Anolis sagrei: one gene and its partner. The protein of the gene in region 1 interacts with the protein of each later gene in a biochemical or structural test. Links are inferred from orthologs where the notes say so. Each region holds a gene or a part of one and is shown on either strand. Other genes may lie near its edges. The genes, in order: APBA1 and CNTNAP4.

What was found.
Region 2: the proteins of APBA1 (region 1) and CNTNAP4 form a complex in vitro, tested with the Homo sapiens proteins (2 studies listed by BioGRID and IntAct, with this or other methods). The link is inferred for Anolis sagrei from reciprocal best matches to the Homo sapiens genes APBA1 and CNTNAP4.

The regions. Positions count from the first base shown.
Region 1 is NC_090022.1:222,036,604-222,047,676, forward strand, and holds the start of APBA1 (amyloid-beta A4 precursor protein-binding family A member 1), read right to left. Parts: upstream 5,006-11,073; 5' UTR 4,826-5,005; intron 1-4,825. UniProt on the Homo sapiens protein: Putative function in synaptic vesicle exocytosis by binding to Munc18-1, an essential component of the synaptic vesicle exocytotic machinery. May modulate processing of the amyloid-beta precursor protein (APP) and hence formation of APP-beta.
Region 2 is NC_090022.1:232,924,491-232,935,513, reverse strand, and holds the start of CNTNAP4 (contactin-associated protein-like 4), read left to right. Parts: upstream 1-6,779; 5' UTR 6,780-7,213; coding exon 7,214-7,298; intron 7,299-11,023. UniProt on the Homo sapiens protein: Presynaptic protein involved in both dopaminergic synaptic transmission and GABAergic system, thereby participating in the structural maturation of inhibitory interneuron synapses.

The DNA of each region.
Region 1 (11,073 bases):
TAGTAGCAGTATGAGCAGAGCCAGCCAGCCAGCATCTGGAAAAAGGGGGCTCTTCCCATGAAATTCCAGGAAAAGAAACCACCAGTGCCTCTCAGGGAAAAAAACAGCCCTAATTCCCCAACCACAGCCCCATATCACAGGAAACACATACATTCAGAAAGAATGGGAAGTGATTAAAAACAGAAGTGGGCTCAGCTGCACCAGGATGAGTATAGATTTAAGTGCAATTCTATTTTAATGTTTAGATGACGGAGATTTAAAATGGCAGTTTTTAACCAAGAGAGAAATAATGATCATGTGGTTTTGAGACAAGGTAAAACAAGGGGTGTGCCTACACTGTAGAATTAATGCAGTTTGACACCACTTTAACTGCCATGGTTCAATACAATGGAATTGTGGGAGCTGTAGTTTTAAAAGGTTGGTTTTTTTAACCTTCTGTGCCAAAGAGTGCAAGTGCCTCACTGAAAGGATAACTCCCAGGATTTCATAGCATTGACTATGGTGCTTACAAGTGGTGTAAAAACAGCATTAATTCTATTTGAATCGGGGGAGAGCGTGGATGAGCTCCCTCTGTCAGCTCCAGCTCCCCATGCAGGGACATCAGAGAAGCCTCCCACAAGGGTGGTAAAACACCAAAACATCTGGATGTCCCCTGGGCAACATCTTTGCAGACGGCAAATTATCTCACACCAGAAGCAACTTGAAGTTTCTCAGGTTGCTCCTGACACACACACACAAAAGCATTAATTCTATAGCGTAGATGCACCCAACGCGCTTCCCTCCCCTGAAACTGGTCTGTGCCAGCAGGAGTGGCAGGTCCTCTCTTCCCAATCGAAGAAGAGTAGAAGGATAATGTGGATGACGCTAAAATGATCGTGACAGCAACAGTAGGAACAGAGTCAGCCAGCTGCTGGGGAAAAGGGTCCTTCCCAGGAGACTCCAGGACAAGAAAGCACTAGTAACCCCCCTCTTATCTTCCAGAGAAATAAATTGCCTTAATCCCCCCTCCCTTCCGCACAGGGCCACATTTACTATGTGGGTGCCCTGTTGCCCTTTGCCACTCCTCACTCTAGAAAGCAAGACAGACAGCCCCCCTCCCAGGCTCCCACAACCCACTGGATCGGTTTCATAGCAATCATAATCCTCCCCGGTAAACACACACGTCACTCACTGCCTGCATGCACCAAGCCTCGCCTCCTGCCATCTCAATGGAGAGAGAGAGCGAGGCGCATCCATCCATCCACCTACCTTCTCCCTTCTGTTCTCCCTCCACAACCGTCCTGTCCCCAGATGTCACAAGTGTCACCCCAGCCCTTAAGTCTTGAAGAGTGGGGCGATCACTAGTTTCTCTCCTTTATAATCCAAGGAGGATTGCCCTCTGGAGCAGGGGAGAAACAGGCTCCAAGGTCTCTTATTAGATGTAAAATCTATGTGTGGCTGTAGAATAGATGTTCTCAAAGACAGACTCCACTCATAGAGGTTTGTAGTTTATTTATACAGAGTGGAGAAATCCTCTGGACTGAAGGAGAAATCAGCTCCAACTTGAGGCTGTCGCTTATTTCTCCCTTTCTCCTTTACAATCAAAGGAGGACTGCCCTCTGGAGCAAGGGAGGAATAGGTTCCAATGTCTCTTATTAACACCTATATAGGTGTAAAATTGATGTATATCTGTAGAAGAGACGTCCTCGAAGACAGACTCCACTCGTAAAGGTCTGTTTATATGGAGAGGAGAAATCCTCTGGACTGGAGTAAAGGAAAAATCAGCTCCAGTTCTGTTCTGTGTTTGGAACTATGTAGGTGCAAAATGTATCTGTATATGGAGGGGGAGAGCTCTATTACCAGTCATATAGTCTTGTAATGCATTGTTATTATCGATAATATCAATTCTGTTCTCTGTTTGTAACCTTGTAGGTGCAAAATTATCTGAAGGGAGAGAGGTCCAGTACCAGTCATATAGGGTTGCAATTTATTATTATTATGTATAATCCCAATTCTGTTCTCTGTTCGCAACCATGTAGGTGCAAAATGTATCTGGGGAGTGGGGGAGGTCTATTACCAGTCATACAGGTGTGCAATTTATTATTATTATGGATTATGATAATAATAATACTTTATTTCTAACCCGCTCTCTCTCCACAAAGGGACTCAAGGCAGCTTCCAAAGACAAAAATGGCAAACATTCAATAAGAGAGATCCTCTGGAGCAGAGGAGATATAGGCTCTCATTTTGCTCTCTACTACCAACCATATAGTCCCTCCAGGGGTGAGAAAAGCGGTATATAAATACTGTAAATAAATAAATATAGGTGTAACATTGATCCATATGGAGGGAGAAATCTTTTGGAGCAGAGGGGAAATAGACTCTGATTTAGTTCTCTACTACCAACCATATAGGAGTAGCACTGATTCCTATGGAAGGAGAGTCCCTTTGGAGCAGAGGAGAAATGGGCTCTAATTTAGTTCTCGACTACCAATCCTACAGGTGTAACACTGATTTCAAATAGAGGGAGAGATCCTTTGAAGCAGAGGAGAAAAAGGCTCTAATCGATTTGCCCCAAAGAAATGGGAAATTATTGTTTCCATTTGATGTTTGATGTTCTGTTTATGTCTATTATAATAGGCTGTGCTTTTTATTTAATTTAGTTTGTTAAGTTATAATTCGTATTTATATGTTGGGTTGTATAAATTTTGTTAGTATGGATGTATTGTTGTATTCAGGCATTGAATGTTTGCCTTTTATATTTGGAATTTGCCCTGAGTCCCTTTGGAGAGATAGAGTGGAATATATATAAAGTTTTATTATTATTTTATCTAATTTTGTTCTCTACTACCCACCATATAGGAGTAGCACTGATTCATATGGAGGGAGAGTTCCTTTGGAGCAGAGGAGAAATGGGATCTGATTTAGTTCCCTATAGGGTTGTTTTTTTTTGTCGTGTCAAGAGCGACTTGAGAAACTGCAAGTCGCTTCTGGTGTGAAAGAATTGGCCATCTGCAAGGACGTTGCCCAGAGGACGCCTAGTTGATTTTATGTTTTTATCATCCTTCTGGGAGGCTTCTCTCATGTCCCCGCATGAGGAGTTGGAGTTGATAGAGGGAGCTCATCCGCCTCTCCCCGGATTCAAACCTGCGACCTGTGGGTCTTCAGTCCTGCCAGCACAGGGGTTTAACTCATTGCGCCACCAGGGGCTCCAAACCCTATAGGTGTAACACTGATTCATATGGAGGGAGAGATCCTATGGAGAAGAGGAGAAATAGGCTCTGATTTTGTTCTCTACTAATCATACAGGAGTAACATTGATTCATATGGAGAGGGAGATCCTTTGGAGAAGAGGAGAATTAGGCTCTCATTCTGTTCTCTACTACCAACCCTATAGGTGTAACATTGATTCATAGCGAGAGAGAGATCTTTTGGAGAGGAGGAGAAATAGGCTCTGATTTTGTTTTCCACTACCAACCATACAGGAGTAACACTGATCCATATGGAGGGAGAGATCCTTTGGCGCAAATGAGAAATATTCTCTGATTTAGTTGATTTAGTTTTCTACTACCAGCCATACAGGTGTAACACTGATTCATATGGAGAGATCCTATGGAGCAATGGGCTCTGATTTAGTTACCTACTACCAGCCATATAGGTGTAACACTGATTTATAAGGAGGGAGAGATCAATTGGAGCAGAGGAGAAATAGGCTCTGGTTCTATTCTCAACTACCAACCATACAAGAGTAACACTGGTTCACATGGAGGAGGAGATCCTTTGGAGCAGAGAATTAGGCTCTGATTCTGTCCTCTACTACCAACCATATAGGTGTAATACTGATTCATATGGAGAGAGAGAGAGATCCTTTGGAGCAGAGGCTCTGATTTTGTTCTCTACTACCAACCATCTAGGAGGAGCACATGGAGGAGATCCTTTGGCGCATATATGTGTAACATTAATTCATATGGAGGGAGAGATCCTTTGGAGCAGCGTTGAATTTGGCTCTGTTTCTATTCTCAACTACCAGCCATATAGATATAACATTGATTCACATGGAGGAGGAGATCCTTTGGAGCAGAGGAGAATTAGGCTCCGATTATGGTCTCCCTCCACCACCAACCATATAGGAGTCACATTAATTCATATGGAGGGAGAGATCCTTTGAAGCATAGGCTCTGATTCTGTTCTCTACTACCAACCATCTAGGAGTAGCATTGATTCATGAAAGAGAGCACTCCCCTGGAACAGATTCCAATTTTGTCCTCTATTATGAAGCATGTAGGTGTCAATTTTATTTATATGGAAGGAAGCTGAGGAGAAACAGGGCTCCAATCCATATTACCAACCACACAGGTGTAAAGAAATATTCATTTTGGAGGACAGCGAGATCTCTCTGGAGTAGAAGAGAAACGGGCTCCAATTCCCAACCATTTAGGTGTAAGGCTTATTTGTAGTAAGGAGGGAAATCTGGAGCAGAGGAGAAGCAGGCTCCAATCTCAATCTCTCTCCTTCTAGGTTTCCAATGCACTGCTATGGAGGCATGCAAGCACACCCCCGCATGCATCCAGGCCCTCTTGCTTGGCAGGGAGATCCCCATTTTTCCCCCCTCCAACAGCACCATTGATGATCCCTTTCCCCTCCAGTTCCATGCACTGAATACATACAGAGGCAAGCAAGGCAAGCATGCATCAAGTCCTTCCCCTCCTCCCAAGGCCCCTCTTCAGCTTCCTTTCCATCTCTTAGAAGATCCCCGTTGTTAGCTTATCCATTGATGAGCTACCCATTGATTATTTCTCTCCCCTCGCCCCCAAATCAAAAGGAAAAAAAAAGAGAGGAGGGTTACCTTCTTTTTCCTTCCTCCAGGGAACCTGCGCATCGAGGGGGGAATCTGGATCTGGATGGAGGCGGAGGTTAGAAAAGGGAGCCCAGGCAGGCGCGCGCCCTCTTTCCCTCTCGCGCGCGCTGCGGCCGCCTCTCCACCATCTTCACCCTCCTCCTTCCTCCTCCTCTTCTTCTTCCTCCTCCTCCTCCTCCTCCTCCTCCTCCGCAGCCCACCCGCTGGAAAGCCAGCAAGCCCCGCCCCTCCGGCCCCTCCCTGGGCCCGCCCCTCCGGCGCCCGCGTGACTCCCGGGCCTGGCAATGAGGAGGAGGAGCTGCAAGGCTTGCAGCTGCAAGGAAGGACATCTCTGCAAACGCAAAGCAAGGCCAGCACAATGTGGCTGCGGGAGGAAACAGGAGGAAGAGGAGGAGGAGGGACTAGGCCCGCTGACCAGCTACACCAGGCATGGCCAAACTTCGGCCCTGCAGGTGTTTTGGACTTCGACTCCCACCATTCCTAACAGCCTACCGGCTGTTAGGAATGGTGGGAGTCGAAGTCCAAAACACCTGCAGGGCCGAAGTTTGCCCCAGTGCTGTGGCTTCCTGGGATTTGTAGTTTCATAAGGTCCTTTTTAGCCCTTTCTCAAAGACTTCAGAATAGGCCCTATCAATGAGAGACCTCTAGGGTTGTATCTATGCTGTAGAGCAGCGTAGGGACATCCGTAGGGAGACCAAGGTGCTTGTTTATAAAGCTATTGTCCTCCCAACCCTGTTATACACCTGCGAGAGGTGGACTGTCTACAGACGTCACATGCAGCTCCTGGAACAATTCCATCAGCGCTGCCTCCGGAAAATCCTGCACATCTCTTGGGAAGACAAGTGGACAAATGTCAGCGTGCTGGAAGAAGCAAAGACCACCATTAACTCCATTTGTCCGGCCACGTTGTCCGGATGCCTGACCACCGTCTCCCAAAGCAGTTGCTCTACTCCGAACTCAAGAATGGAAAATGGAATGTTAGTAGGCAGGAAAAGAGATTTAAAGATGGGCTCAAAGCCAACCTTAAGAATTCTGGCATAGACACAGAGAACTTGGAAGCCCTGGTCCTTGAGTGCTCCAGTTGGAGGTCTACTGTGAGCAGCAGTGCTGTAGAATTTGAAGAAGCACGGAAAGAGAAAAACGTGCCAAGAGGAAGGTGCGTCAAGCCAACCCTGACCAAGACCGCCTTCCACCTGGAAGGCAATGCCCTCACTGCGGGAGAACATGCAAGTCAAGAATAGGGCTCCACAGTCACCTACAGACCCACCGCCAGTACACTGATCCTGGAGGACTATCCTACTTGGACAATAAGGGATCGCCTAAATCAAGAGGAGCATTTCTCAACTTGGGGGTCGGGACCCCAGGGGGAGGTGTCTTGAGGGGTTGTCAAAGAGGTCACCAAAGACCATCAGATAACACAGTATTTTATGTTGTTCATGGGGGTCCTGTGTGGCAAATTTGGCCCAGTTCTATCATTGGTGGGATTCAGAATGCTCTGTAGGTGAACTATAAATCCCAGCAACTACAACTCTCAAATGTCAAGGTCTATTTTCCCCAATTCCACCAGTTTTCACATTTAGGCATATTAAGTATCCGTGCCAAGTTTGATCCAGATCCATCGTTGTTTGAGTCCAGAGTGTTCTCTGGATATAGGTGAACTAAAACTCCAAAACTCAAGGTCAATGCCCACCAAACCCTTCCAGTATTTTCTGTTTGTCATGGGAGTTGTGTGCCAAGCTTGGTTCAATTCCATGGTTGGTGGAGTTCAGAATGCTCTTTGATTGTAGGTGAACTATAAATCCCAGCATCTACAACTCCCAAAAGACAAAATCAATCACCTCCCCAACCCCACCAGTATTCAAATTTTGGGTATTTGTGCCAAATTTGGTCCAGTGAATGAAAATATATCCTGCATATCTGTTATTTACATTACTATTCATAACAGTAGTAAAATTACAGTTACGAAGTAGCAATGAAAATAATGTTATGGTTGGGGGTCACCACAACATGACGAACTGTATTAAGGGGTTGCGGCATTAGGAAGGTTGAGAAACACTGCTGTAGAGATACAGGCCTGGGCAAACTTGGACTCTCTAGGTGTTTTGGACTTCAACTCTATGTGTGTGTGTGTGTGTGTACACACACACATATAATAAAAGTGAAAATATGTATGTGTGTATGTGGCTGGAGTGTCTACTTATAAAGACTAAACTTCTGCCTTCACAAACAGCTCTAACTCCCAACTACCCAGGACACACCGATGGCCCTCCCTCCAATAATACTGCAGGTTATACTGAGTGCCTAAACATGTGCAAGAGGCCTGCCAATGTCCTCCACAAACATCATACTGCCCACCACCCAAGTGAATGCTTTCATATGGGGGCAATTTCATCCTAGATGTTATGTGTTTCCTCCTCCACAGACATCCCACTGTTTCTTACTCTCTCCATTGGTGTGGAATTTGCATGACCCCACCCATGGCCTCTCCCTTAACCCTTTCCTATTATTTTATATGGCACACAGCAAACAGGAATTGATCAGCAGCTGAACATACTAGAGGGGAGAATTCACCATGATTTATAGGAGTTGTAGGTACTGGGATATATAGTTCACCTGCAATCAATGAGCACTCTAAATTCCACTAAAGATGGAATCAGACCAAACTTGGCACACATCTTTGGGGGAAGTTCACCTTGATTTGGGTGAGTTGTAGCTTACCTACACCCAGAGAGCACTATGAACCCAAACACCGATGGATCTGGACCAAACTTGGCACACATACCCAACATGCTGAAATTTGTTTACTGGAGAGGTTTGGAGGGAAATTGACCTCTCTTTCTGGGAGTTGTAGTTCATCCACAACCAGATAAACTATGACCCCCACCAGTGATGGACCTGGATCAAACTTGGCACATAGAATGCACATGACTAACTCAACCTACTGGAGGGGTTTGAGGGGACTGACTCGCCATAGTGGGAGTTGTGGTTTACCCTACAACCAGAGAGCACACTGAAGCCAACCGATGATATATCTAGAGCAAATTGTGGTGATCGTTTTGCTGTCTGTGCCCCTGTTCAGCAAATTTCACCTCATTTTCTGTCTGATAATTAGATTTAAAAAACTTTGGCTTGTTGTGGAAACATTTTTTTCCTGTGTAAGGAGCGATTTGAGAAGCTGCAAGTCACTTCTGGTGTGAGAGAATTGGCTGTCTGGAAGGACACTGCCCAGGGGATGCCCGGATGTGGAGACCCCTTTTCCCCATGGTGGACTTTTCTTCCTAGAGGCAGATTTCTCTCACTTCCTGTTGTCTCATCCTCATTCTTAACTACTGGTGATTTATTAGTCAGATGTTTGTAACTTAGGGACTGCCTGGGTTAAATATTTAAGAGAAGTTAAAGACTAACACTTCAACTCTATGCATGCTTGTGTAGAAGTCCTACAGTGTTCAGTGAGGTTACTCCTTATAAAGTGTGCATAAGACTGTAGTCTAAAAACTATACAATATCTCAATATACAATATCTCAATATATGTTATTTCCCACAGTCACCTACAGATGTGAGAGCTGGAACATAGAGAAGGCTGAGTGAAGGAAGATAGATGTTTTTGAACTGTGGTGTTGGAGGAAAGTTCTGAGAGTGCCTTGGACCGCAAGAAGATTCAACCAGTCCATACTTCAGGAAATAAAGCCTGACTGCTCATTGGAGGGAAGGATAATAGAGGCAAAGATGAAGTACTTTGACCACATCATGAGGAGAAAGGAAAGCTTAGAGAAGACAATGATGCTGGGGAAAAGGAAGGAAAAAGGAAGAGGGGCTGACCAAGGGCAAGATGGATGGATGGGATCCTTGAAGTGACTAGATTGACCTTGAAGGAACTGGGGGTGGTGACAGCAAACAGGGAGCTCTGGCATGGGCTGGTCCATGAGGTCACGAACAGTCGGAAACAACTGAACGAATGAACAACAAATTTCAATATAAAATTAAGCGTACAATATTCTCCCTTAAAAACAATTTTCCATAGTGTATACATTAATATTTTGAGGAAAAGTTATATTGTTGTGAGAGCTAAATAAAGTTCAAACCTAGCAGATTAAATCATTATTAAAATACACTTATTATAAGCACACAAAGTGGAATTAAATCTGTAAACATGCATATTTTGCTACAATGCTGTTCACTGTCAATTTTAATCTTTTTTAGAGGAGAAAAATCCACTCCAGAAGAAAAGCATCTTTGAATTTAAGTTGCACTGAAATTAACATAACTTGTGCAACCATTTTGTTTCCAAATCAGAGCTTAAGGCTATTGTGCTGTCACACCCAAGGTGCTTTAAATGGCTTTAGCATTAGCACGTCCTGGCTTTATATCAACTTGGGGGATGCTGGATTGCCTTCCTGTTTGAACAAGGAACCCCACAGAATCAATGTCCATGTTACTGCTTTCAAAAAAATAATAATTTATTAATTGGTCTTGTGGGCCTATCTCTACGTAGGCACTATCTTGATTTCCCCACAACAAAGTCCATACTTAAAGTTTGAAGGTAACTTGTTCTTGAGGTTGCTGGTCATGGATGACTGGAGATGAAGGACAGATGAAAGTTTTCCTTGATCACTTTCTCTGGTAGAGGGGCTTCTGGTGATCAAGGTGATAATGCTAGAGGTAGAGAGCACAGGTCCCTCCTATTGAGACCTGACCTCGCTGAAGGTGCTGGAAACTCCATAAACTGTCACTGACCAGAGGTAGGTTAACATAGCCGGATGAGTTCCCAGATTAGTTATTGGCTTGAAATGGCTTGTCAAAGCCTGAATTTCACTGGGACCAACTACAGACACGTCTTGCTTCCAAGATTTCCTGGTGGTAATAACCCTAAGCTAAAGATAGCTCTTTTTCCCTGGGCAAAAGGGCAGGCAAACTTATTGATATAAACCAGGAAGGGTTTTCTTAAGCTCCACCCTCGTAAAACTAACAGAAAAGTGACTATTACAGGAGCAGTCAAACCGCCTGTTCAAACAGCTCCACTGACTGCCAATAAGTTTTCGGTCCCAGTTCAAGGTGCAGATCATCACCTATAAAGCTCTAAACCAGTGGTTCTCAACCTGTGGGTCCCCAGATGTTTTGGCCTACAACTCCCAGAAATCCCAGCCAGTTTACCAGCTGTTAGGATTTCTGGGAGTTGAAGGCCAAAACATCTGGGGATCCACAGGTTGAGAACCACTGCTCTAAACGGTTCGGGACTTGCCCATCTTCAAGACCACATCTTCCCTTACGAACCCACACGGTCTCTGAGACCTAGCAAGGCCCTTCTCTCGCTTCCATCTCCATCACAGGCATGGTTGGTGGGGACAAGAGAGAGGGCCTTCTTGGTTGACGCCCCCTGGCTCTGGAATTCCCTTCCCAGGGGAGATCAGACTAGCACCCTCCCTATCCACCTCACAAAGATCTAAAGACATGGATGTGCGGTTGACTAAACAATTCCCTTGACAATTGGCCCCAGCTACGACCCAACAATTTTGACCATGCACTTTATTATTGTTGTATCCAAAATCAGAATGATTCTTCTTATATTGCTCTTATCCTTAACACTAGGAGCCCCCGGTGGCACAGTGGATTAAAGCACTGAGCTGCTGAGCATGTTGGTCGAAAGGTCGCAGGTTCGATTCCGGGGAGCGGCGTGAGCTTCCGCTGTCAGCCCTAGCTTCTGCCAACCTAGCAGTTCGAAAACATGCAAATGTGAGTAGATCAATAGGTACCGCTCTGGCGGGAAGGTAACGGCACTCCATGCAGTCATGCCGGCCACATGACCTTGGAGGTGTCTACGGACAACCCTGGCTCTTTGGTTAGAAATGGAGATGAGCACCACACCCCAGAGTCAGACATGACTGGACTTAAGGTCAGGGGACAACTTTTATCTTTACCTTAACACTGCTGTATGACTTATGCAATTTACACATTGGCCCTGTCCTCTGAATTGTGTATCTATCCACCCACCCATATCGAGACTTCTTGTTGGTTTTGATGTTTGTTTTATATTTGTTATAATGTTGTTTTATGCTGTTTAAAATTGATGGAATGCATTCTAATGTGCTACGTTTTAACTCTGTTGATTGGGCTTGGCCCCATGTAAGCCGCCCTGAGTCCCTTTGGGGAGATGGTAACGGGGTATAAAAATAAAGTTGTTATTAGTTGAAGCACAACAAGATGAGTCCACAGCAAACAAAATCACTATGCTGGCTAT
Region 2 (11,023 bases), about 11 Mb from region 1:
AGGGGGATGCATGACAGAAGTTCCTCAGCCATCTGTAAGGGACAAATATGAATGATAATGCATGTCCTGGGAGTATATTCATACAAAAAAGTTGTTTTAATTATCCATGCTTTTAAAAAAAGAGTCCCTCTTTGGGTAATAATCCCCAGAAAACATGCCAATGAAGGGATTGTTCATTTTACAAGAAAAGATCATATGAAAGTCCCTCAAAGCAGTGGCAAACCTCATTTAACAGAATAAACAACAAAGTGCTTATATTCCATATCTCTTCAACTGTCAAAATGTACTGAGATCCAAAGCATACAAAAATCTGCATTCAGCTATAAAATGCCAAGAATTTATAGAAATTTATAGAACTTAGTGTAATAAAGAGGTAAATGTGACATATGCAATATGTTTTGACAACAAATGCCATCAACATAACACATCATTTAAAACCGATTTAGAAAATGACTTGAATAGTGAAGCTTCCTTTTTGTATCTGTAGCCTAAATTTGATAAAGGTCAAATTTCCATTTTACCCACAATTGTTAAACTAGATTAATTCTGTACCATGATTGACCAAAGTATGACGCTCCAGATGTACTGTATTATACCTGCCAACAGTGCTAGCCTTTATAACCAGTATTGTTGAATGTTGTGAGCTGGAATCCAATGGCCACTCTTAAAATACATAAACCCCCTCTTCTTAGGAGTATTTAATAGTTTCAATGCCAGTGATGCCTGAGTGAATGAGTATGAAGAAAACACTTAACAGGAAATAAGATATTTGCAGCTGGTATTGGCTGGATACAATGCCACATTTTATTTCATAGGATGAACTTGGATGTGTACTGAGAATGGCTGCTGTTCTATGATAATGATGATACTGTTACAGCATTCAGTATCAAAAGCAAATGTAACATTCATCTTGGGAATAACGATTGGGGGGGGGGGTAGGACAATCCCACTCCTTCACATCACTGCACTGCTGGCATGCTGGCACAGAAATGGAACTGATCCATCACACTAAGGTAGGTGATAGGAGCTATTGATTGTTTCCTGTTAATACCTAGGGATGGGAAAATTATAAAGCAGGGGAGGAGGGGGCAGACCTGCAGTGGGATGTACATGGTGTTGTTCCAGCTGCAATCGTTCTTCATGAGATAGTCTCAAGTCTGGTTTATGATATTGCAAACAAAGAACAGGGTGCTAGCCATTGCCACTTGAAAGTAGATTTCATGCTGCTACTTCTGAGTGTGAATTGGTCTGTTGCTTGTGGTGGTCTGTCTTTTTTTCAGCATCTATTCCCTAAATTACAGTTTAGTGATTAATTCCAAGAATTCAAATACAGGGCGGGCCAAAGGTCATGAAAGAATTTCAATATTTAATAACACCTTTATTTTTTGTTTTTAATTTACAATGCCATAGCATCGTATACCATATATATATAGGAAAAAATACATTATGTGTGAAAAAGCAAATCTCATAAATGCTATCTAATATACAGCATCATATTCATTATATGTAGGACCTTTTTATGATTAATTTAGGCCCATCCTGTAGGAGATCTGAGAATGACTAGTCTTGAATGCCATTGGGATAATTTAAACTATGCCTTGTTCTTCTACAGAACAGTCTTGAAATAAAAGATGGAATGAGATGCTTTGGAGTAAAAGAAATGAGTTTGGTTCTTTTCTGTAGTGGGGTCATGGAGAAAAGGCCACAATGATAACATTAAATGGAATGATGATTAATGTTAGTGAACTACAAAAAGGACAGAAAGAAGGACTTTTAATAAGGGAAAGGAAGAAACGAGTTTAAAGTTTGGCAAGACTGCAGAGGTGACAGTTAAGTCCTTCGAGAGTACATATTTGAAGTAAGAAATAAAGGGTCTTTCAAATAGAAAGCTAAATAGCTTCTCAAACAATAAGAAAGAGAGCATGTCATAATTGTGTGTGTATGTTGGAAGAATATAGTGAGAAGAAGCTAGGTAGAATGTAGTCATTAAAGCGAGTCAATTATTATTTCCCCCTTATCAGCCTCCATAATATGAATCATAGAGTATTTGAAGGAACATCATAATTATAAAAGTTAGAATGTTATAGATACCTCGGTTATAATAGTGTTACTGAGATCCAACCGATATGATGGTAATCTTTAGTGTTATACAAATATGTGAATTTTTGTACACTCATACAAGAAAGGTGGATGATCTCGTCAATCAGTTATTAATCTCAAGGTAGATGTGATTATTATTGCATATTTAAATTGATTATTCTCTATCATTTCACAAGACAAAGATTTGTTTACATTACAACTAACAACAGTTCTTATAATTTTGGAACAAAATAATGCAGTCAAAGACTAAATCTTTAATTTCTCAGGAAAACAGCATATGAGTTCTTGTCATGAATTATACGTTTCACTTATTTTTGTCTGTGTTCTGAGCTAACTAATGTATTCAGTATTCACAAGAATAACTAGTTTGAGAAAAAGTGGGATTCCACAGTAGAGATTAAAATCTTCGCTTAGTTGATTCATTGCATGCAAGAATGAGAACTACAGTTTAGTCTTGGGCAGAATGACTGGGGATTTTGGCATTTTTACCTAAGGATTTTCTCATTTGGAGATTCTGAAAAAAGACATGTAACAGGGGGTTTTTTGGGGGGGGGGGGTTGTTCTAAGGGTATCAACCAGATAGATAGATAAGCCTCTGAAACTTTCACAAAAAGTCCTTAAAATCACATTTCACATGATTTCTCAATGTGACAAAAGACCTTTTCTTGATGGAGGTGAGATATTTGTGAATACTCTTTAAACTCATAGCCAGCTGTCATTTCTTTCAATGTCACAACTCCTGTATATTCAAATATGATTACATTTAGGTTCTTGTGGGTTTTTTCGGGCTATAGAGCCATGTTCTAGAGGCATTTCTCCTGACGTTTTGCCTGCATCTATGGCAAGCATCCTCAGAGGTTGAGAAGGTCTTCATTAGCATTTGAAGGCCTGCCTGAGTCAAATGCTAATGAAGACCTTCTCAACCTCTGAGGATGCTTGCCATAGATGCAGGCGAAACGTCAGGAGAAATGCCTCTAGAACATGGCTCTATAGCCCGAAAAAACCCACAAGAACCTAGTGATTCCAGCCATGAAAGCCTTCGACAATACAATGATTACATTTATTCTTGTGTCAATGTAAGTAGACTTAAATTTTAACATTCATAATCCTTAACTATAAAATACCTTACTCTTTTTTTTTAAAAAAAAGAAATCATGTAGAGGAATATATATTTTCTTTAGTACAAAAATGCAAATATATGTCACGATGTGGTGGTAATTTATGGCATTATGCAGATGGGCATTGCCACTAGAAAAATTATCCAGTTTAATCTTATTTCTCTTGGTGAGATTTAATGCTTCATACCCTTGAAATAAAAATAGAGTTAGTTTAAAATCTAGCCGGTCCAGGGAGATCCTGCCTTTGGAAAAGGGATCTGTTTGGTTTTTTATCTTGGAAATCTAAGTCTTCTGATCCATTTCAGAGGTGCAAAAGGTGGAAAACCCAATCACACCATAAATTTGGAGAAACTACGAGGGTTGAATGAAAAGTAATTCCTCCACCTTCATTACTTGGGTTTGGGTGGGAATATTTTAATAATTCAAATGCAGAAATAATCCTTAGAATGTGCTCTTTAACTACCACTATTCACTTTTCTACATAATCACTAGACAATGGGATACATTTCTGCCAATGATGAACAAGTTTTCTAAGGCTGTCACGGAAGAAGTTGACACTGTTTCTGCAACCAGCATCTCACAGTTCTCACAATGTCTTCATCAGAAGCATAAGGATGACCCCGCAGATCTTCTTTCATTATCGGGATGGAAGTCAGACATTGTTAAATCTGGACTATATGGAGGATGCCATATGGTGGTGAAATCCAGTCTCTGAAATTTCAAGTCTGTGCGCTTTCATTTCAGGCATCAGCATCCTGGGTGTTGCAATCCAGAGCAGGAAACGAGGCCCTAAGATAACTATCCACCACACTTGACTGTGAAAAACAATCCTTTTTTATTGAAGAAAAATGGTTACAGAATAAAGGAAAAATACAAGTCAAAAGCCACAGCAAAATCAGCAAACATGAATTTAAATGGACAAAAAAACCCCAAAGCCACACTGTAAAATACTGGAACCTGTTAGCAATCCACTAACCATACTTGATATCCTAGAAATCTTTCAAGACAATGGCTAGGAAAACCGGGAGAACTCCCAAGGTCTTCATCAATCTGAAACGATGCCTGAACTGAGAAAGTCAGCCCGGCGGAAGGCACTTAAAGCCGAAGAATTGGTTCGGTGAACCGCCTCTCTGCTTTGAAGCCGTTGTTTGTATTTCTTTTAATTGGGAAGACCTTCGCAAGCTGAGTGATTTACTTCTGTCTTGCCAGATCTGGCCCCTTCTGTTCTCATTAAAGTTACCAGGTGCAGAAGGGAGTGAAAGGTCATGGCTTCCCTCTGAAACATTCTCATGAACGCTGGTACTTTCATTTTCCAAATCTACAGAAGTTTCTTCCTCACTAATTTCAGGAGCATTGGCATCAAGAGGTACATTTTCATTAGCATCAGTAAATATATTTTCATTAGCATCAGGAGGAACAAACAGAGAATCAGGTTCAAGTTCAAACTCAGGCTGAACCCCAACACTGGGTACCCATCGTGCACAGATCTTCCGCTAGCCAAGCAAAGCAATAATGTGACCCACATGTTCTTGTGAAATGCCGATTATGCTTGAAATTTCTCTCTGAGTGATACGACAATCATTCTGTCAACATTTTGCTTGTGAAACTTGATGGTTGCTGTCACAGGAAGTCCAACTCTTTGTTTGCCACACAAGTCAGATGTTCCCACCTCAACATCTTTAAACTTTCTCACCCAGTGACACACAGTACTCACATCAATGCAATCACCATAAAGAGCTTGCATTCTCTGATTAATCTCCTTTGGGGTGACACCTTCTGCTGTCAAGAATTCAATGACTGCATGTTGTTTAAGTCGCATTGACCGACCGTCTGCGCAGGGCTCCATACTTCTCATTTTAACAACACAACGATTCAATGATAAAGCTTCCTGCCAAATGGAACTGAAGAGGAGAGTCTACTGAATAAGCCAATACCAGTTGCATACCAGTACTGCCATCTGTTGAGGAGTTATGAAGGTGGAGGCATTACTTTTCATTCAAACCTTGTATGATTGAATTTCCACATGCAATAGGAAGAAACCCATGATGAAATGAGAAAATGAAAAATTATTAGGCACAATCTTGATTTGTAGCACCTGCTAGAATCTTTCATCCATCTGTTTTGGTTTGTTGTTTTTGATGCACCCATTCACCCTCCCCCCACCCCGCATCAGCTACCACCCATTTAATTAGAAATTATGTTACTCAGAACTGAAATATAGCAATTTGTCTTGAACAAGTGTGTGTTTCACTTCTCAAAAGGTATGTTAATGTTATGGAGAACACAGTTCATTGACCCAACTGAGATCAGTGTTTCAACAGCATAAATAGGATCAGTATTTATTTATGTCTCTAGTGGAGAATATGCAGTGGTATCTCTCTCTGGATATTCTTCTTTAGTCATGGTTGAATGTAATTGTTTTTGGAAATAAATGTTATGTCTCAAGGTTGTGAGACCTTGAGCATAAAGAAGGCTGAGCAAAGGACACTTTTGAACTGTGGCATTGGAGGAAAATTCTGAGAGTGTCTAGGACTGCAAGATCAAACCAGTCCATACTCCGGGAAATAAAGCTGACTGCTCACTGGAGGAAAAGATATTAGAGGCAAAGATTAAGTACTTTGGCCACATAATGAGAAGACAGGAAAACTTGTAGAAGACAATGATGCTGGGGAAAATGGAAAGAAAAAGGAAGAGGGGCTGACCAAGGGCAAGATGGATGGGTGGTATTTATCCATCTTGCCCTTGGATGACTGCCTTGACTTTGAAGGAGCTGGGGGTTGCCACGGCTGACAGGGAGCTCTGGTGTGGGCTGGTCCACGAGGTCACAAAGAACCAGAAGCAACTGGACAAATAAACAACAACCACAAGTCTCAAGGACATGCAGTGTCTATGATGGAACATGTTTCTAGCAATCCTAAGAATTGGATAACTGAAACCAAGATGGCCTGGCTCGCAATGAAGAGGTATCTATCCTTTTATTTGTGTTTAGATACTATCACATTTACAAGTAGTAGTTAACAATCTGTAACTTCCTTACAGAACTTCAAACTCAAAATCCACTGAACAGTGCTGCATAATAACAGTTCAAAGTCATTCTAGCCTTCCCTTTTATGTTTGTGATTATACCCTACAATATATGTGAAAAACTGCAAGACAGAGCTTTTGAAGTACATCTGTGGGGTTACAATTCATAGCAATTTGGGCTCTCCACATCTTATTAAAAATTACTCTCAGGGGAATATCCTTCAGCATCAGTTGAAGATGAATGTGGGGTTCTATGGCTGAATACAAGAATTATTGTCTGCAAAATGGCAAAATACAGTTTGGTTGCATGATAGTAAATTCTGATGTAAAATTACAACATTTTCTTTTAGTCTTTGTGAATGATAGAGCAGGTGAAAGTTGTCATTAAATACAGACTAAATGGGGGAAAGGGTGGTCATGATGAAAGCCTTTTTCCTTCTGCTCTTGTTCTGCTTCTGTTTCCCTTCCCCTTGCATGACCATAAATAATTGGGAACAGTCATAATCCAGCGGGGAGGCTGTACAGGCACACATGTGCAGGCTGCTCTCTTTATTGTCTGGCTTTCATCATAGACTCTCATTTCCTACCTGTCACCACAAGGGGTGTCCAGGACACATTACGAATGTGAAGCTTCAGTAACCAAACTGTACAGGGTAGTCTTGCAGTTTAGCTCTGAGTGATTCTGTGAAATTAGAGGCGAGATCCTTGCAGCTGCTCTTCAGGGATTGCTGTTTTTAAGGGGGAAGGAACAGATCTTGTGCTCTCCCTGTGTGTGTGTATATATATACACACACAGGAGAAGATGCAGAGTGCATTTGGCTGAGCTATTGGCTACTCGGAAGCACTGAGAGGCAGGCAGAGAGCAAGAAACAGAAGGAGAGAAGAGGAAGCGGGAACAGGACTGAAGTGCAGAGCAGCTGTCCCCATTTCTGAATACTCGGGCACTTCAGGGTGCCTCAGTCAATGAGGACATGGATTCTTTTGCTCAAATCTTCTTCAAACTGGTCTTTCTGATTCCTTTTCATCACTGGAATATATTAGCAGCAGGAAACAAATGTAAGTATTACAAATGGATATTCAAACTTAAATCAGGCTGTTCTAGGAGGAAGTCAAAAAACTTAGTGTAATGAGATCCAGACTGGGAAGAATAACTCTTCCAATACATTTGTTCTGGTCAGTAAGTAAGTAGATAGGATGAAAGTGTTTCAGAGGATAAAATGTGTCATTTCACAAATTGTTCATTTCTTATTTTTTATTTTTTTTAAAAGCAAGTTGTAATCAGAACGCTGTCAGCTAAGCCAGGATCCAATATAATTGGAAAATCACATTCTGCTGAAGGTGTGCTGTATTTCTTTCCTTCTTTGCAAAAGCTTGCTGTATAGCAGCATAACAGTATTTTGCAAGGAGTTAAGCCTTTTAAGGGAGATTACTGCTTTGCTGATATTCTCCGCTGCATCACCTTGAGCTTTAAGACATGTAGAATTTTGCAGACAGGTTTCCCCCCTCCCCGCTCTCTTGTATTAAGCGGAACTCTGCTATTCAGTGCTGTAGAGTGTAAGAGCACAGCATTTGTAATAAGGAGTAAATGTTGAGAATGAGATTTTATGGCATGTTCATTGATTTCAGTGTGCGTAATTTTCATGTGTGCCGAGGCAGTGGATTTCAGTAGCAGCATTGTAAAGGTTGCTTATATGTAGCTTTATATAAATATATATTCTGTAATGATAGTGAAACCATTACTTTAGATAGAAAAACAACCCAGAATGGGATTCTAAAATGTAAGTGAGTGAGTGTGCTAGAAAACAAGTACTTTTCATAGATCTGCATAAACAGTTTCTAACTCTGACTCAGATGTGGTTTTTATTGGTATGTACACTGTGTGTGTATGTGCATGTGTTATGCACTAAGCATTGACTGTTCATTAGGATGTACATTATAGTTTTTCTCAGGTATTCTGTATGCCCCATATACTTAATTTTACATTAAACATATCAATTGGGTGTCCAATATATTCTTTTAACAGTTGCAGAGTTCTTTTGATAAAGCCTCTGTCTGTATCAGTGAACCTAGTGGTGATTATAGCTGGAGGTACTGAGTGCCGGGACTAGTAGGAATTCGTGAATAACGTTAAAACAGTGTTGGAAGGGACAGGTCCTTGAGAACATTTAAATGAGAAATGAAAGTGGCAGTGCTGAGCTTTCATCATATGCTTTGAGATTTAAAGGCTGAGGGTTGAGATAGACTATCATATAACTGACAGTTGCTCAGTGGGACCAAGCTGGTCTTTTTATTGTTGTTCTGTCACGATATGTCATTTGACATTCAAGTGCAGATTTTCCAGAACAGAATAAAAAAGGGGCCCACTGCTATTTATCCAAATTTGGTGTGTGTGTGTGTGTGTGTGTGTGTGTGCATGCTTAAATTCTTCAATGCTCTGCTGGATGGACTCTATGACTCCATTCATACTCATATAGGTCTCATAAATGATTCTCACATTAATAACTTTTGGTATCAAGCACAAAACTAAAACAGATGGTTGTGGAAAGGCATTTTAAACCTATAGCAAAATAGGATTCCAAGAAATATACTGAAGCAGCAAAGCACTAGAGGTCACTCTTACAATTTAGTAAGCAATACTCAGAGAAAAATATAGCAAAGATCTTCCCAGAACAAAATTAACCAGAATAACAAAACCTCAGATATCTGCTGTGATTATTGCCTTTACTTTTTGAGCCAACACACCTCTGAGTTATATGCACCTCTGTTAACTGCTTCAAATATGTCCTTTTACATGCAGTGGTTAATTGCTGTAAAGCAATGGTTGAAATAAGTTCAGAATAAAATGGATATTTAGCAATTTTAGAAATGTGAAATATGAGGGATGCAATGATGAAGAGGGTTGAGTAGCTTTATAAAGAAATGAATACAGAGATAAAACCGATATATAGTCATTATGTTTATTAAAAACTAAGCCAATGTCCCAAATTGTACCAAAGAGCTGGGTTCAGCATTACCTTACTGGTTGCACACATCATTCTTATCTGTTAATACTGTAGATGTGGAGTTAACCTATAGATTATATTATCATGCTTTAGTTAGTCATGATCTGCAAGCTGTCCTGTTGATCCTATTGGGATTAAAGACCAATAGATACAGTATAAATCAATTGATATGGTCTAGATCCAGTCTCTCTCTCTTCCCCCTTACAAATTGAAATATTCTTCGAGTCATTGATATTATTTCAATGACTTTCCCTTTCTTTGGTAATAGATATAACTCCCCTGGTCCGAAATAAGTATTTGACCTGTAATAGCATTTTGCTAATAATTAGCATATTATATGTTTATAATTTCAAGTCAACATTCTGGCTTCAGCTTCCATATTTATTCAGTTATCACTGGTATTAACATAAATACAGGCTTAATAGCTAAGATTGCAGTTCTTACATCAATAAACTACTATGTGAATGGTGAGAACCAAGTACTAGAGCCTTCAAGTTCTATCTCTTGCATTGATTTTCCTCAGAAATAGGATTTGCTAAGGACATCATTATTGTACTCAGAAATGAGACTCCATCCATTCGCATTGTAGATTAATATATAATTAATATGTGACCTAATGCTGGATCTTAAAATCTACCCAAGCTCATACCATGATTCCCAAGATTTTTAAAAAATAGCTCTTTCTTTTACTGATACAACTGTTTACTTTAAACTAAAAATGTACCAATAGAAATATTTTCTGTTAAGTATGCAAGGTATTGTTCAATCACAGTTCATAGGTGTGTATTGGTCCTCGTTTACATATACTTCCCTCCAAAGCATGTACTCTGAGCCAAAGCTAAACTTTCACTGAAAACCCCCATGCTTATTTAAGGTATCAGAAATAGGCAAGTCTTATCAACTGAAGGCCAAATATAAAATTTTGAAGGAGATATATTTTACTTTTTTGAGGTTTATCACTAGATGACTTACCAAGCATGGGAATAGCTGTCCTTGGGAACACTTATATTTTGAGAAGTACAGGCAACACAAAAGTCATCTCCTTCTAAAGAATTAAAACTTCCAAAGCAATTGAAGTAGAACGGACACATATAGCCATAAATTTGATACTGTGAAAGGTCATGGTGAAGCCTTAAAGTACAAATGAAAGCTCTAAAGTTCTGCCAATAGAGACAATATAGGGTTTATTTTATTACTTTTTTCAAACTTTGAAAGTTTTTTTTATTTGATTTTTTTTCATAGAAATTATTGAAACTGGTTGGCAGTCATTGTTTTGGACAAAACTGTGTGTTATGAAATGTTCATCTCTTTGGAATTCCATGGAAATAAGCATTAGACTAAACTATAATTAACCTCATATTTTAGGTTAGGTATCACTGAAAATATTGACATGCATTAAACCAATGTGAGAATAGAGTATGAGCCCTGTATCTGTGCTTTGAATGTGATTTTCCTGCTTCTTGGCGGGGGATTGGATTGGATGGGCCACAAGGTCTCTTCCAACTCTATGATTCTATGATCCTATGAAATATGTTCCAAAACCCCCATGGCTACCTGAAACTGTTGATAATAGTAAATGCTACATTTTGACTATGCTTCGGTTGGAAGCATACAATGAAATAGTACTGGAAGACCCAGAAAGATCCATAAATACTTGTGTGTGGAGGGCGGGGGGGGGGGGGGGAGGAGGAGGAAGATGTATTTTGGAAGATGGGTAAGTGGACATCCAGTCTGTGCATGAGGGGATAGTAATGCATATTGTTTGTAAGGCGTCCCTCC